Linked DNA regions of Macaca fascicularis. The protein of the gene in region 2 purifies or fractionates together with the protein of the main gene of each other region. This does not show direct contact. Links are inferred from orthologs where the notes say so. Each region holds a gene or a part of one and is shown on either strand. Other genes may lie near its edges.

Evidence for each region. The genes of interacting proteins can lie anywhere in the genome.
Region 1: the proteins of ANAPC13 (region 2) and ANAPC7 purify together in Homo sapiens (affinity purification with mass spectrometry; 3 studies listed by BioGRID and IntAct, counting the BioPlex papers as one, with this or other methods). This does not show direct contact. The link is inferred for Macaca fascicularis from reciprocal best matches to the Homo sapiens genes ANAPC13 and ANAPC7.

What each region holds. Positions count from the first base shown.
Region 1 is NC_088385.1:117,272,524-117,278,404, reverse strand, and holds the start of ANAPC7 (anaphase-promoting complex subunit 7), read left to right. Parts: upstream 1-1,941; 5' UTR 1,942-2,034; coding exon 2,035-2,135; exon of another isoform or gene 2,136-2,935; intron 2,936-3,883; exon of another isoform or gene 3,884-3,938; intron 3,939-5,881. UniProt on the Homo sapiens protein: Component of the anaphase promoting complex/cyclosome (APC/C), a cell cycle-regulated E3 ubiquitin ligase that controls progression through mitosis and the G1 phase of the cell cycle.
Region 2 is NC_088376.1:37,392,403-37,398,316, reverse strand, and holds the start of ANAPC13 (anaphase-promoting complex subunit 13), read left to right. Parts: upstream 1-2,622; 5' UTR 2,623-2,729; intron 2,730-2,759; coding exon of another isoform or gene 2,760-3,093; exon of another isoform or gene 3,094-3,265; coding exon of another isoform or gene 3,266-3,439; exon of another isoform or gene 3,440-3,974; intron 3,975-5,914. Other genes in the region: CEP63 (centrosomal protein of 63 kDa), read right to left, coding at 2,818-3,093. UniProt on the Homo sapiens protein: Component of the anaphase promoting complex/cyclosome (APC/C), a cell cycle-regulated E3 ubiquitin ligase that controls progression through mitosis and the G1 phase of the cell cycle.

The sequences.
Region 1 (5,881 bases), on a different chromosome or scaffold from region 2:
TTTGTATTTTTAGTAGAGAAGGGGTTTCTCCATGTTGGTCAGGCTGGTCTTGAACTCCCGACCTCAGGTGATCCACCTGCCTTGGCATCCCAAAGTGCTGGGATTACAGGCATGAGCCACTGCGCCCAGCCTCTCATATGGTTTTATATTGTTTTAAACTCAGAAAAGGAAAGAAAAGCAAAACAAAAAGCAGGTAACCCGGCACCTAGGAACCAGACCAAAAACCAAGGAACCAGACCCAAAACCAGGCCTGGGCCTGCCTTACCTAAGCCTGGTAGTTAAAATTCGACCCCTGACCTAGCAACTAATGTTATCTATAGATTATAGAAAGACATTGTGAAACTTCCCGGTCTGTTCTGTTTCACTCTGACCACCAGTGCATGCAGCCCCTGTCACGTACCCGCTGCTTGCTCAATCGATCATGAGCCTCTCACATGGACCCCCTTAGAGTTGTGAGTCCTTAAAAGGGACAGGAATTGCTCACTTAGGGAGCTCAGCTCTTGACACAGGAGCCTTGCCAATGCTCCTGGCCGAATAAACTCCTTCCTTCTTTAATTTGGTGTCTGAGGAGTTTTGTCTGCGGCTCATCCTCCTACATGCCCACCTGTACCCAGGTGAAATAAACAGCCTTGTTGCTCACACAAAGCCTGTTTGGTGGTTTCTTCACACGGACGTGCGTGACAGTGGTGGCAGGTGCCTGTAATCCCAGCTTCTCAGGAAGCTGAGGCAGGGAGAATCACTTGAACCCGGGAGGCAGAGGTTGCAGTGAGCTGAGATTTTGAACTCCAACCTGGGCGACAAAAGCAAAACTCCATCTCAAAAAAAAAAGAAAAGTTCACAGTGATCATGCCTACCAAAATCACATCAAAGGTCTCATACATCCAGAAAACTAGAGTAGGGGATGAGATGGGAAAAGGATCACAGGAGCTTCAACTGTGACAAAATGTAAGAGCTGAAAAAGTTGACTGGTGAAGATATACCGTGATTTTTTCAGAGCATTTTTTTTTTTGCATCTGTTACTCTAAAAATCAAATGAAAACAAAATATAGACCAAAACAACTGTCTCCTTCAAGAAAGGAGCGAAAGGCTATATCTGAGAGGGTGATTGTGGAGGATATTGGGATTCTGATTCAAATACCTAAACTGCCTCATTGGCTCAGTTACCTCCCTGGTCTCTGTATACATTCGAGTTTGCGATCCATCACATTTAACCACTGGCGATCTGATTCCAAGTCAACCATTTAACAACCTGAGCACAAAATTTAAGCAGGCAGTTTCTTCCCTTGTGAGAAGGGAAAGACAACTTCAACTTTATGGATTGTTGTGAACGTCCAATAACTTGTGTAAAACTTTTGTAAAAAGTTAACTGTGCCAGACACATGCTGGTTTATATGGGTATCAGCTAATTCCTGGATCTAGTCTTTATTTCCACGGATTTAGGGAATCATTTTACATGGTAAAATACGCCCCTCGAATTAACAAGTTCATCCAGGGACAAAGCCTGACTTTAGCAGGAACACAAAACACCTGAGCAGGGAGGCGGCGGCCCCTGCCTGGTGCGCATGCGCGACTGTAAAAGCCGTTAGGTCTGTCCCTGGCGCCCGATTAGAATATTTAATTCCAGTTGGAGCGCTTTTCCTCACCTTACTATATTTTATTTCTGGTAAGTGCTCACACATTTTAATTTCTGAGAGGCCCAAATTCCTCTCAGACTCATTCAAATTGACCAAGTAGTCTTACTAAGGTGACTTTTGTCTCATTGTAAGTCCTCAGTAAATTTTGCAGTTTAGGATGATGACGTAATTTTTGCGTAAAAGTAACAACTCATTTCACCGGAAAGGGACCACGACAGGAGCAGGGACTCGAGTTTCTTTTTATTCGGGCACTTCAGTAGTTACCTTTTGCTTGGGGGCGGTGCCGCGTGTGGACCCGATGGACCCCGGCGACGCGGCCATTTTGGAGTCTTCCCTAAGGATCCCTTACCGGTTTTTCGAGACAGTGCTGCCGCCGCTGCCCGCGGCCTTGCAGGGCAGGATGAATGTGATAGACCACGTGCGGGACATGGCGGCCGCGGGGCTGCACTCCAACGTGCGGCTCCTCAGCAGCTTGTTACTTACAATGAGCAATAACAACCCGTGAGTTGAGGCGGGGAGCGGCCTGGGGCTGAGGAGAAAGCGGCAGTGGTCTGGGACCGGGGGCTCAGGGCACGCGGGAACAGGCGGGAAGGAGCGGCCTCCCGCACCAGCGGAGGCTCCGGCGTCTGCGAGGGCGTAGTGGAGCGGAGCAGACTTCGGAGCGCAAGTTGGGTTCACTGGGTGCCGGCGTCAAGTCCCTGCGGAGATGTGGCGAGCGGCGGCTTGGAGAAATAGAAGGCAGAGGCTCTGAGGACGACCCAGGCGAGGGTTTTCTGAGGCACCTGTCGCGGGGTAGCGCGACTGTCACATCGCTGGGCCGAATCCTCCCCTCTCGGCTCCTTCCAGAGAACGTTTTTTTCTCTCGCTGCAGCTCCGGGACCCAGCCTCCTGGTTTTTATGCTCTAGCCCCGCATCTGAGATTGGTCACCCCATTAAGTGTATCAGGAGGGTCCACTTTCTCGCCTTGGGAAACCCCTGAAAACGGGGCCGGGCGCGATGGCTCACGCCTCTAATACCAGCACTTTGGGAGGCCGAGGCGGGAGGATCGCTTGAGCCCAGGAGTTAAGACTAACCTGGGCAACATAGGGAGACCCTGCCTCTATGAAAAATAAAAATTAAACAATTAGCCGGGCGTGATTGTGCGTGCCTGAGTTCCCAGCTACTCGGGAGGCTGAAGCAGGAGGATTGCTTGAGCCCAGAAGGTCGAGGCTGCAGTGAGCCGTGATCGCATCACTGTCCTTTACCGTGTGCGACAGAACGACAGCCTGTCTCAAAAAAGAAACGGGAGATTCCATTAATGGGTGGGCGTGGCGCCTTTCTTGTTTCATTGAAGCACTGGGCTGATTCCATCCTTGAGTGTCCATCCTTAAGTACATGTCCCTCTCCTGCTTAAAATCCTTCACTGGCTGGTTGCAGTGGCTCAAGCCTGTAATCCCAGCACTTTGGGAGGCCGAGGCAGGCGGATCACGAGGTCAGGAGATCGAGATCATCCTGGCTAACACGGTGAAACCCTGTCTCTACTAAAAAAATACAAAAAAATTAGCCGGGTGTGGTGGCGGGCACCTGTAGTCCCAGCTACTGGGGAGGCTGAGGCAGAAGAATGGCGGGAACCCGGGAGGCAGAGCTTGCAGTGAGCCGAGATCGCGCCGCTGCACTCCAGTCTGGGCGACAGAGCGAGACTCCGTCTTAAAAAAAAAAAAAAATCATTTATTGCACTAATGAAAATTATTTCCCATGGCCTCCGAAAGGAACTATCTGCCCTTCACTCTCTGCTACTTCATCTCATTACTGTGTTCACTGCTCTCCAGCCTCTCTGGCTATTCTTTCTGTTATTTATTTATTTTTATTTATTTTTGTTTTTTTTTGAGACAGAGCCTTGCTCTGTCGCCCAGGCTGGATGGAGTTCAGTGGCGCGATCTCGGCTCACTGCAGCCTCCGCCTCCTGGGTTCAAGCGATTCTCCTGCCTCAGCTTCCCAAGTAGCTGGGATTACAGGCGAGCGCCACATGCCCAGGTAATTTTTGTAATTTTAGTAGAAACGGAGTTTCAATATATTGACCAGTCTGGTCTTGAACTCCTGACCTCAGGTGATCCCACCACCTCGGCCTCCCAAAATTTTGGGATTACAGGCGTGAGCCACCGCGCTTGGCCTCTTTGTGTTATTTGAATGTACCAAGCGTGTTCTCTGGGCCCTTGTACTTGCTGTTCCTGCTGCAACGGTCCTTATCTCAGCGCTGCCTCCTCCTTCAGGTTTTAGCCTGAACATCTCTCCTAGAGAACCTTCTCTGACTCCCAGGACTCTCAGGTACTCCCACTTTTCTACCCTTCGCATCGCCTAGCAATTGAAAGCACAGTGGATGTGCGCATTAAGCACTCACATGCTTATTGAGTGTGTTGAGGAAGTGAGTACAACTTCAGGGAGGTGAAATACCCTTGTCTGAGTTCACACATCTAATAAATGGAGGAGTACAATGTCTGGACCTGGTCTTCTCTGACTGGAGAGTCTCCATTCTGAGCCACCAGTCTGCTACCTCCAAATGGCATTATCATGGAAACTTCTACTCTGTAGATGTATTAGTGTTTGGCCTGCTATAGAAGCTGGTCTAGGTCAGAAGGGAAAGGTCCTTAAAGTGCTTACAATGCAGCTGCTGCTGCCCATTGGATTTTCATGAGTGTGCTTTGGTGTTTTGTTTTGCTTTTCAGTCAGAGTCTTGCTCTGTTGCCCAGGCTGGAGTGCAGTGGTGCGATCTTGGCTCACTACAGCCTCCACCTCCCAGGCTCAAGCGATCCTCCCACCTCAGCCTCCTGAGTAACAGGGATTACAGATTCGCACCACCACGCCTGGCTAATTTTTTTTTTTTTTTATAGAGATGGAGTTTTATCATGTTGACCAGGCTTGTCTCGAACTCCTGACCTCAAGTGATCCCCATGACTTAGGCCTCCCAAAGTGCTTGGATTACAGGCGTGAGCCACCGAGCCCGGCCTCATTAGTGTGCTTTGGACCTTACTAGTGAGACCCATCATTTTGCCACCATCCACTTCATGTTGACAGGAGCCCTGGTCTCTGTCAGCCTTCTGTGTTTATTCTGGAACCTTTCACTTGGTTCTTGGTTCTGAGTGATTTGTCAAAGCATAGTTTCCACGTTTGGAGATTTAGGCCCTACTTGCTCTTAGTTCTCAAAGATGTTACAGGAGAGTTTGAAACAGTTTAATTCTCTGGCTAGACTAAGTTTAGCCCATGCTTTTTCATGTTAGGTTAGATTGGCAGTTTCCTAGCTTTAGGACATGTTCAGGTTTCTGCCCTTCATGGTTTATACTTTAAAATTTCTTGTGGAATAGGCAGTAGACACTGTTAAATTCAAACAGTGGAGAAGGGGCATGCAGATCAGTATCTTTCCCTGAGTCTTGAACCTCACCCCACCATTTCCTTTCTCCAGAGGCAGTAACTATTTTTTCCTGTGTCATTACAGAGGTAACTTATGCATGTGTAAGTAGACATGTATGTTATATGAGTATCAGAATGCCTTCTGTGGGTGTAATAATACTTTTGTATCCAGGCATCAGATGGTTATTTCTCACTACATACATAGAATCACAGAGTTTGAAGAGAACTTAAGTCATCTAGACTATACTTTTTTGTTGTGTTGTTTTTTTTGGGGGGGAGACTGAGTCTCGCTCTGTCACCAAGGCTGGAGTGCGGTGGCGTGATCTCGGCTCACTGCAGCTTCCGCCTCCTGGGTTCAAGCAGTTTTCCCTCAGCCTTCCAAGTAGCTGGGTTTACAGGTGACCACCACCACGCCTGGCTGATTTTCGTATTTTTAGTAGAGACAGGGTTTCAACATGCTGGCCAGGCTGGTCGAACTCCTGACCTCGGTGATCCTCCCACCTTAGCCTCCCAAAGTGCTGGGATTACAGGCATGAGCCACCGCTCCCGGCCGTTTTTTGTTTGTTTGTTTGTTTATTTATGAGACAGAGCCTCTCTCTGTCACCCAGGCTGGAGTGCAGTGGCGGGATCTTGGCTAACTGCAAGCTCTGCCTCCCAGGTTCAAGTGATTCTCCGGCCTCAGCATCTAAGTAGCTAGGATTATAGGCGTAAGCCATAGTGCATGGCCACAATAATGCAATTCTGTGGGTTTTAGAGTATTTACAAAATTGTATGGTCATCACCATGATCTGATTCCAGAAAGTTTTCATTACCTCAATGAAAAGAAACCCTGTGGCCTGGGATTACAGGCGTAAGCCACTGCG
Region 2 (5,914 bases):
AAATAATATTTAATGTTAACATCATTAAAAAAAAAACAAAAAAAACCTCAAGCCACTGCTTCCCTGATAATTAATGAAATAGGAAGTGTATTGCATTACCTATGAAATTTTCTGCCCAACCCCCCAACTACCCCACCAAAAAACAAAACAAAAACAAATATAAAGGTGAAATCTGATCAGGCTTCTAAAGCAGGGTGCTCGATAGAACTTTCTGCAATTATGAAACTATTTTATAACTGCACTGTTCAAAAAGTAGCCACTAGGCAATCTGTAGGCAACCACGCCCGGCTAATTTTTGTATTTTTAGTACATACGGGGTTTCGTCATGTTGGTCAGGCTTGTCTCGAAACTCCTGACCCCGTGATCTGCCCGCCTCGGCTTCCCAAAGTGCTGGGATTACAGGCATGAGCCACCGCGCCCAGCCTAGGAACTGAATTTTTAATTTTATTTCACTTTAATTACCCACAGCTGGCTGGTGGCTATAATACTGGACAGTGCAATTCTACATCTAACTACTGGTTTAGAGCAGTGGTCCCCAGCCTTTTTGGCACCAGGGACCTGTTTCACGGAAGAAAATTTTTCAACACGGACAGGGTGGAAATAAAAAATTTTGTAAATATCTTTTTGTTAACATTCATATGAAATGTTTTGGGGGAGGAATGGCCAAACCACTTTTTATTTGTTTATTTATTTTCTTTTTTTTGAGATCCAGTCTCACACTGTAGCCTGGTCTGGAGAGCAACGGTGTGATCTCAGCTCACTGCAACCTTCGCCTCCCGGATTCACGTGATTCTCCTGCCTCAGCCTCCCGAGTAGCTGGAATTACAGGCGCACACCACCACACCCGGCTAACTTTTTTGCATTTTTAGTAGAGACGGTGTTTCACTATGTTGGCCAGACTGGTCTCGAACTCCTGACCTCGTGATCCGCCCACGTCAGCCTCCCAAAGTGCTGGGATTACAGGCGTGAGCCACCGCACCCGGCCAACCACTTCTTCAGTAATATGAATAATACACATGGCAAGGGTTAGGGGCATGGTTTCATGATGAAACTGTTCCACCTCAGATCATGAGTCATTAGTCAGATTCTCATAAGCATGCAACCTAGATCCCTTGCATGCGCAGTTCACATTAGGGTTCATGCTCCTAGGAGAATCTAACCCCACAGCTGATCTGACAGGAGGCAGAGCTCAGTTGGTAGGTAATGCTCACTCGCCTGTCACTCACCTCCTGCTCTGTAACCTGGTTCCTAACAGGCCACGGACTGGTAGTGCTCTGCAGCCCCGGGTTTGGGGGCCCCTGGTTTAGAAGCCATAAAGGCAACAGAGATACCTGTTAAAGGATACTGTGCAATGTAATCTGCTAAATTTAGAACTGTAAGGAAAAATAGGGGCTAATCCCATAGCTATAGCTATGAGGGAACTGCTATAGATTAAAAGATGTCAAATATGCATCACCCAAACACAACAGGCAGATCCCTGTGGGATTTTGGTTCAAACAAGCTAACTGCAAAAAAGACATTTAAGAGAGAGTTGAAGAAATCGTAATCTGACTGGACATTGACATTAGAGAATTTTCATTAATTTGTGTATGTGTAATGACAGTAGTGTGGCTTTGCAAAACTGAAAGACCTAGCTCCTGACGGGGGCGGGCAGGGGACTAAAATAACATAAAGATCGGAAATTCAGTTCCTGAAACCTTGTGTCAATGTTGGCTTTAGCTGAATTCCAAATCAAGTTGACATTTTTTGAAAGCAGGAAGCAATGACAGAGTGGACTACTGATGCTGTCACCATCTGCCAGCACAACGTAAATTAGAACAGAAAGGACTAAGCAAAGGCATTCCACCTTTTAAAGAGAGAAAATGGCATCAGTACAATCAACATATACAATTTTTACAAACAACTTTTAGAGTTGCATCTACATACATTTTAAAAGGCAGTGTGCCTGTTTATAAATCTCTACCCCATTTTAGTTTCAGAGCCTTTTTTACTACCCTGATCACTGATCATGCCACAGTCAAAAGGCAATCTCAAAAATTAATCTAAAAATAGTACTGCATTCCAAATAAGAAAATATATATACTTTGTTTTACTATTAAGCTACAGCTAACAGAAATCTAATCAACGATCCTTGATTTTCTCTTACCTAAAAAATAAACGCAAGCACGTGAGGAACTGTATAAATACAGAGCATCTACCCTACAATACTGCTTTATAAAAGAATAAATTCTTTTAATAAGTTTAACCGGACATAAAGCTCAGGGAAAACTACTTTGTGCATATTAGTGTACGGTGCTTAAACTATACAAGATGACTAGTCTCTGACATCATACACATCTTTACTCTCCTGATGTCGTATACGACATAAAAAAAACCACATTATAAGCCTAAATGTACTGTCTTCAAGTATCTCCATGATTAAAGTGTTCCTAAGAAACCGTCCTTGTTTCTTTCTATCCCTGATCTGTGTGCATGGAGCAGTTAGTTCAGGGTTCTCCAATTTCAGTCCACGATTTCTGCCATAATTCCGTACCTGCTGTACTAAACATAACCGTTTACACCAACTCACTATTTTAAAAGCTGCCAACCTTAACATGCCACCCTAAATGAGCGGGTCCCCTTGTGCCGTGAATGAAGTAGTCCTAACAGCGCTAGCTAAACAGCAGCCCTGGCCGGGAGGCCGCACAGGGGTACCTCCGCTGAAAAGAAAGGTGGGTCCGCCGGGAAAGGTGAGTACTGGGCGCAGCTCGCCCGCCCACCTGGCTACTCTCCGAAGCGCCCCCAGCCACCCGGCCTCCGAGGAAACGCTGTGACCACCTGGCGGGGCCGAACCGCGCGCCGGGCTGCGCCATGCCGGACTACGCCGGTGTGCAGGGCATAGCGGGCCAGGCCGAGGGACGGGGCTCCGGGGCGGACGCGAGCCGGCGGGGAGGCGCCTGGTGGTTCGCAGACTGTTGCGCGAACCGGCCGCAAGCCATGAGGCCGCGAAGCCAGAGTCACCAAGGCAGCCTGGGCCGCCTCCGGACCAGGACGCGCTCGCCCCTTGCGCTTCCGTCTTGCGCACGGGCGGTTACACGGCTGCAGCAAGCGCATCCCTCAGCCTTCCCGCCGTTACCTCGGCCGTGCACTGCGCACGCGCGCCACCACTAAGCTTACGTCCAGCCTCAGCAGTCGGAGCGTTCGTTCCGCCCACTGCCCCCACACTTTTAATAATTGAATCAATGTCTGCTCCAGACTTCCCCTGCACGCGAGCAAATGGACTCACCCACATCCGGGAATCCGAGAAAGAGCGTGCAGACGCGTGATGCGGTGCGAGGCAGGAGGAAGCGTCTGCCGCGCTGGGCCGCGTAACGGTAAGGGTTTGCAGCGCCCCCGGCCTAGGTTTTGGAGGCGCGGGAATGCGTTCGTGGCTCAGTGTCGGACTTCCCCCTATTTCCATCGGCCGAGGCTGTCACTTTACGCTCATAACCGTTTTCTTTACTGCACGCTGTGTCGGGAGGAAAGGGACTTGCTTGGCACCCCAGACCTCCCCGTCTCCGCTTCCACGTTTGGTACATCCTGCGTCAGGCCGGAAGCCGCGGCTGAGGGGCGGCCTCTCGTACAGTGTGGTGGCCTGCGAGGCTCATTTCTAGCAAGGAACAATATTTTTCCCGCTTTGACCTTACAGATACATGTTTACAAAGCTATAATGTATAGAAATGGATAAGACATGTCCCTGTCCCGGGAAACGCAGGCACTGCGTGTCTGGAAAGACATACATCTGGGCTGTTTGACAGGCTACCTAGTTGGTGCCATGCTCTGTGCTTAGGGAACTATGAGATCCCCGGTGGGTACCGGGACCGCGCTCAGCCTGAGGTTTGGAGGCGGCCTCCTGCAGGAAGCGACTTGAGACCTGAGATTTTTAGACTGACTATGGGTTCGCTGGAATAAAAAGGAAGAAACAAACAGCATTGCAGGCATCGGGACTGTCACGTGTAAGAAAAGTTTGTTCAGGAAACAGTTGTCGTATTGTGTGACGAGTACTTGGGACGGTGGCTGTGCCTTGGGCGTTGATTATCTTGTTGCTTTCCATCCTTCCAGCCCCTTAAGAGTGAAGGCACCTTCACGCCTAACCCCGGAAATGGGATGTTGACCTCCAAGAGCTGACGCCTGCGTTGATCTTGAAAGGAAGAGTGGCATTAGTGATGTGGAAAGGGGGGTTTTAACTGTCAAGGCTGGAAAATGTGACAGGGTTTGAGGTGTTTGGAGAAGGGACAGGTGAAAAAGATTGAGGCCAAATTGTAGAAAGATCTACTAAGGAATCCTGGGTACAAAATGTACACATAACAGTTGGAGACAATAATACCTGAGCAATTGATCACAAAGCTTGTTTAGTAGATTTAAGTTAGGACAAGAAGCAAGAGTTCAAGGATAGAAGGCCTACTGAAGCTCGAGTGATCTGAGAAAACCTTACTAAAAGGTGGAAAACCTATGTGGGCCTGGGAAAGTCAGGTTTGGATCAGCTGAGGAAAGTGAAAAGGGTATCCCAGGAGACACAGCAGCAAGGACAAAGGAGTAGCAGCAGGAAAGTGGGGAGCTCTTATAAGACAGGGACTTCAAAAGTATAACCAAAACTTCGTCTTGCTTTGAGTTATCCACTGGGTAGTAGGGGGTTAATTATTGAGTACTGGATTAATTAAGCCCTCACCTGGCTCACCGGTGACAAGTAGCAGGGCGCGTTTTGCTTAAGTTTTGCCCAGATCTTTTAAACCCTTTCCTACACACCAATCTGTGTATAATTTTTGCCAAGGTGTTGGGGATATCTTGCAGTTATCCTATGGGGGACATCTGTGAGCCTTTTTTTTTTTTTTTTTTTTGAGACCAAGTCTTTTTTTTTTTTTTTTTTTTTTGAGACGGAGTCTTGCTCTGTCACCCAGGCTGGAGTGCAGTGGCCAGATCTCGGCTCATTGCAAGCTCCGCCTCCCGGGTTCATGCCATTCTCCTGCCTCAGCCTCCCGAATAGCTGGGACTACAGGTGCCTGCCACCACGCCCGGCTAATTTTTTGTGTTTTTAGTAGAGACGGGGTTTCACCGTGTTAGCCAGGATAGTCTCGATCTCCTGACCTCGTGATCCGCCCACCTCGGCCTCCCAAAGTGCTGGGATTACAGGCGTGAGCCACCGCGCCCGGCCATGTGAGCCATTTTTACAAAAACTTCCACCTGCCTTGGCCCAAACCTCAGCATTCTTAGGCACAGGAGCTCATGAACATACTGAGATAACACTAAAATGGACTATGGGAAGGGACCAACTACAGACCTGACACAAATCCTCAAGGCAAGACGATGTCTGAAGTTGACCTTGTAAAGGAAAAGGCTTCCTTCCTTAAAATAGCACCCAGGCTGAGCTCTGAAAAAAGCACCTCAAGATGGTGGGTTCCACCCCGCCCCCGCCAAAATTGCTTATTGTGTGAGTCTCCATAGTCTCAGAAACTGAGAATAACTGAGAGTACCTTTGATGCCAGTGGCTTCTGGGCTTTTTGGATTGTGACTTTGTAACAGGGAGCACCCATAGGATGACGCCTATGATGAATCAGGGCCCAACCTTGGAAACAGGGAATCCAAAAGTATCCTCCAAGCTAGCCAGCCTTTTGGATTAGAAAGCATACCACAGATAGGATGAAATTAAGCAAGGTTGTCTGCTTCTGAATTAAATAATTCATTAATTAAGGACCTATTTATTCTTTGTTATCTATAAGTAATTATTAAGACTGAACTTTCTTTTTAAGTTTAAGATAATATATTATTGCTTTACAATAAATGATAGCTCTTTTCAATATGTTCAAGTATGTTTGAATCTGTCTTGTAGAACAAGATGTATGTGATTCAAATATAGATAAGTAAATATCATTTAATATATATTGAGCATAATTTTAGA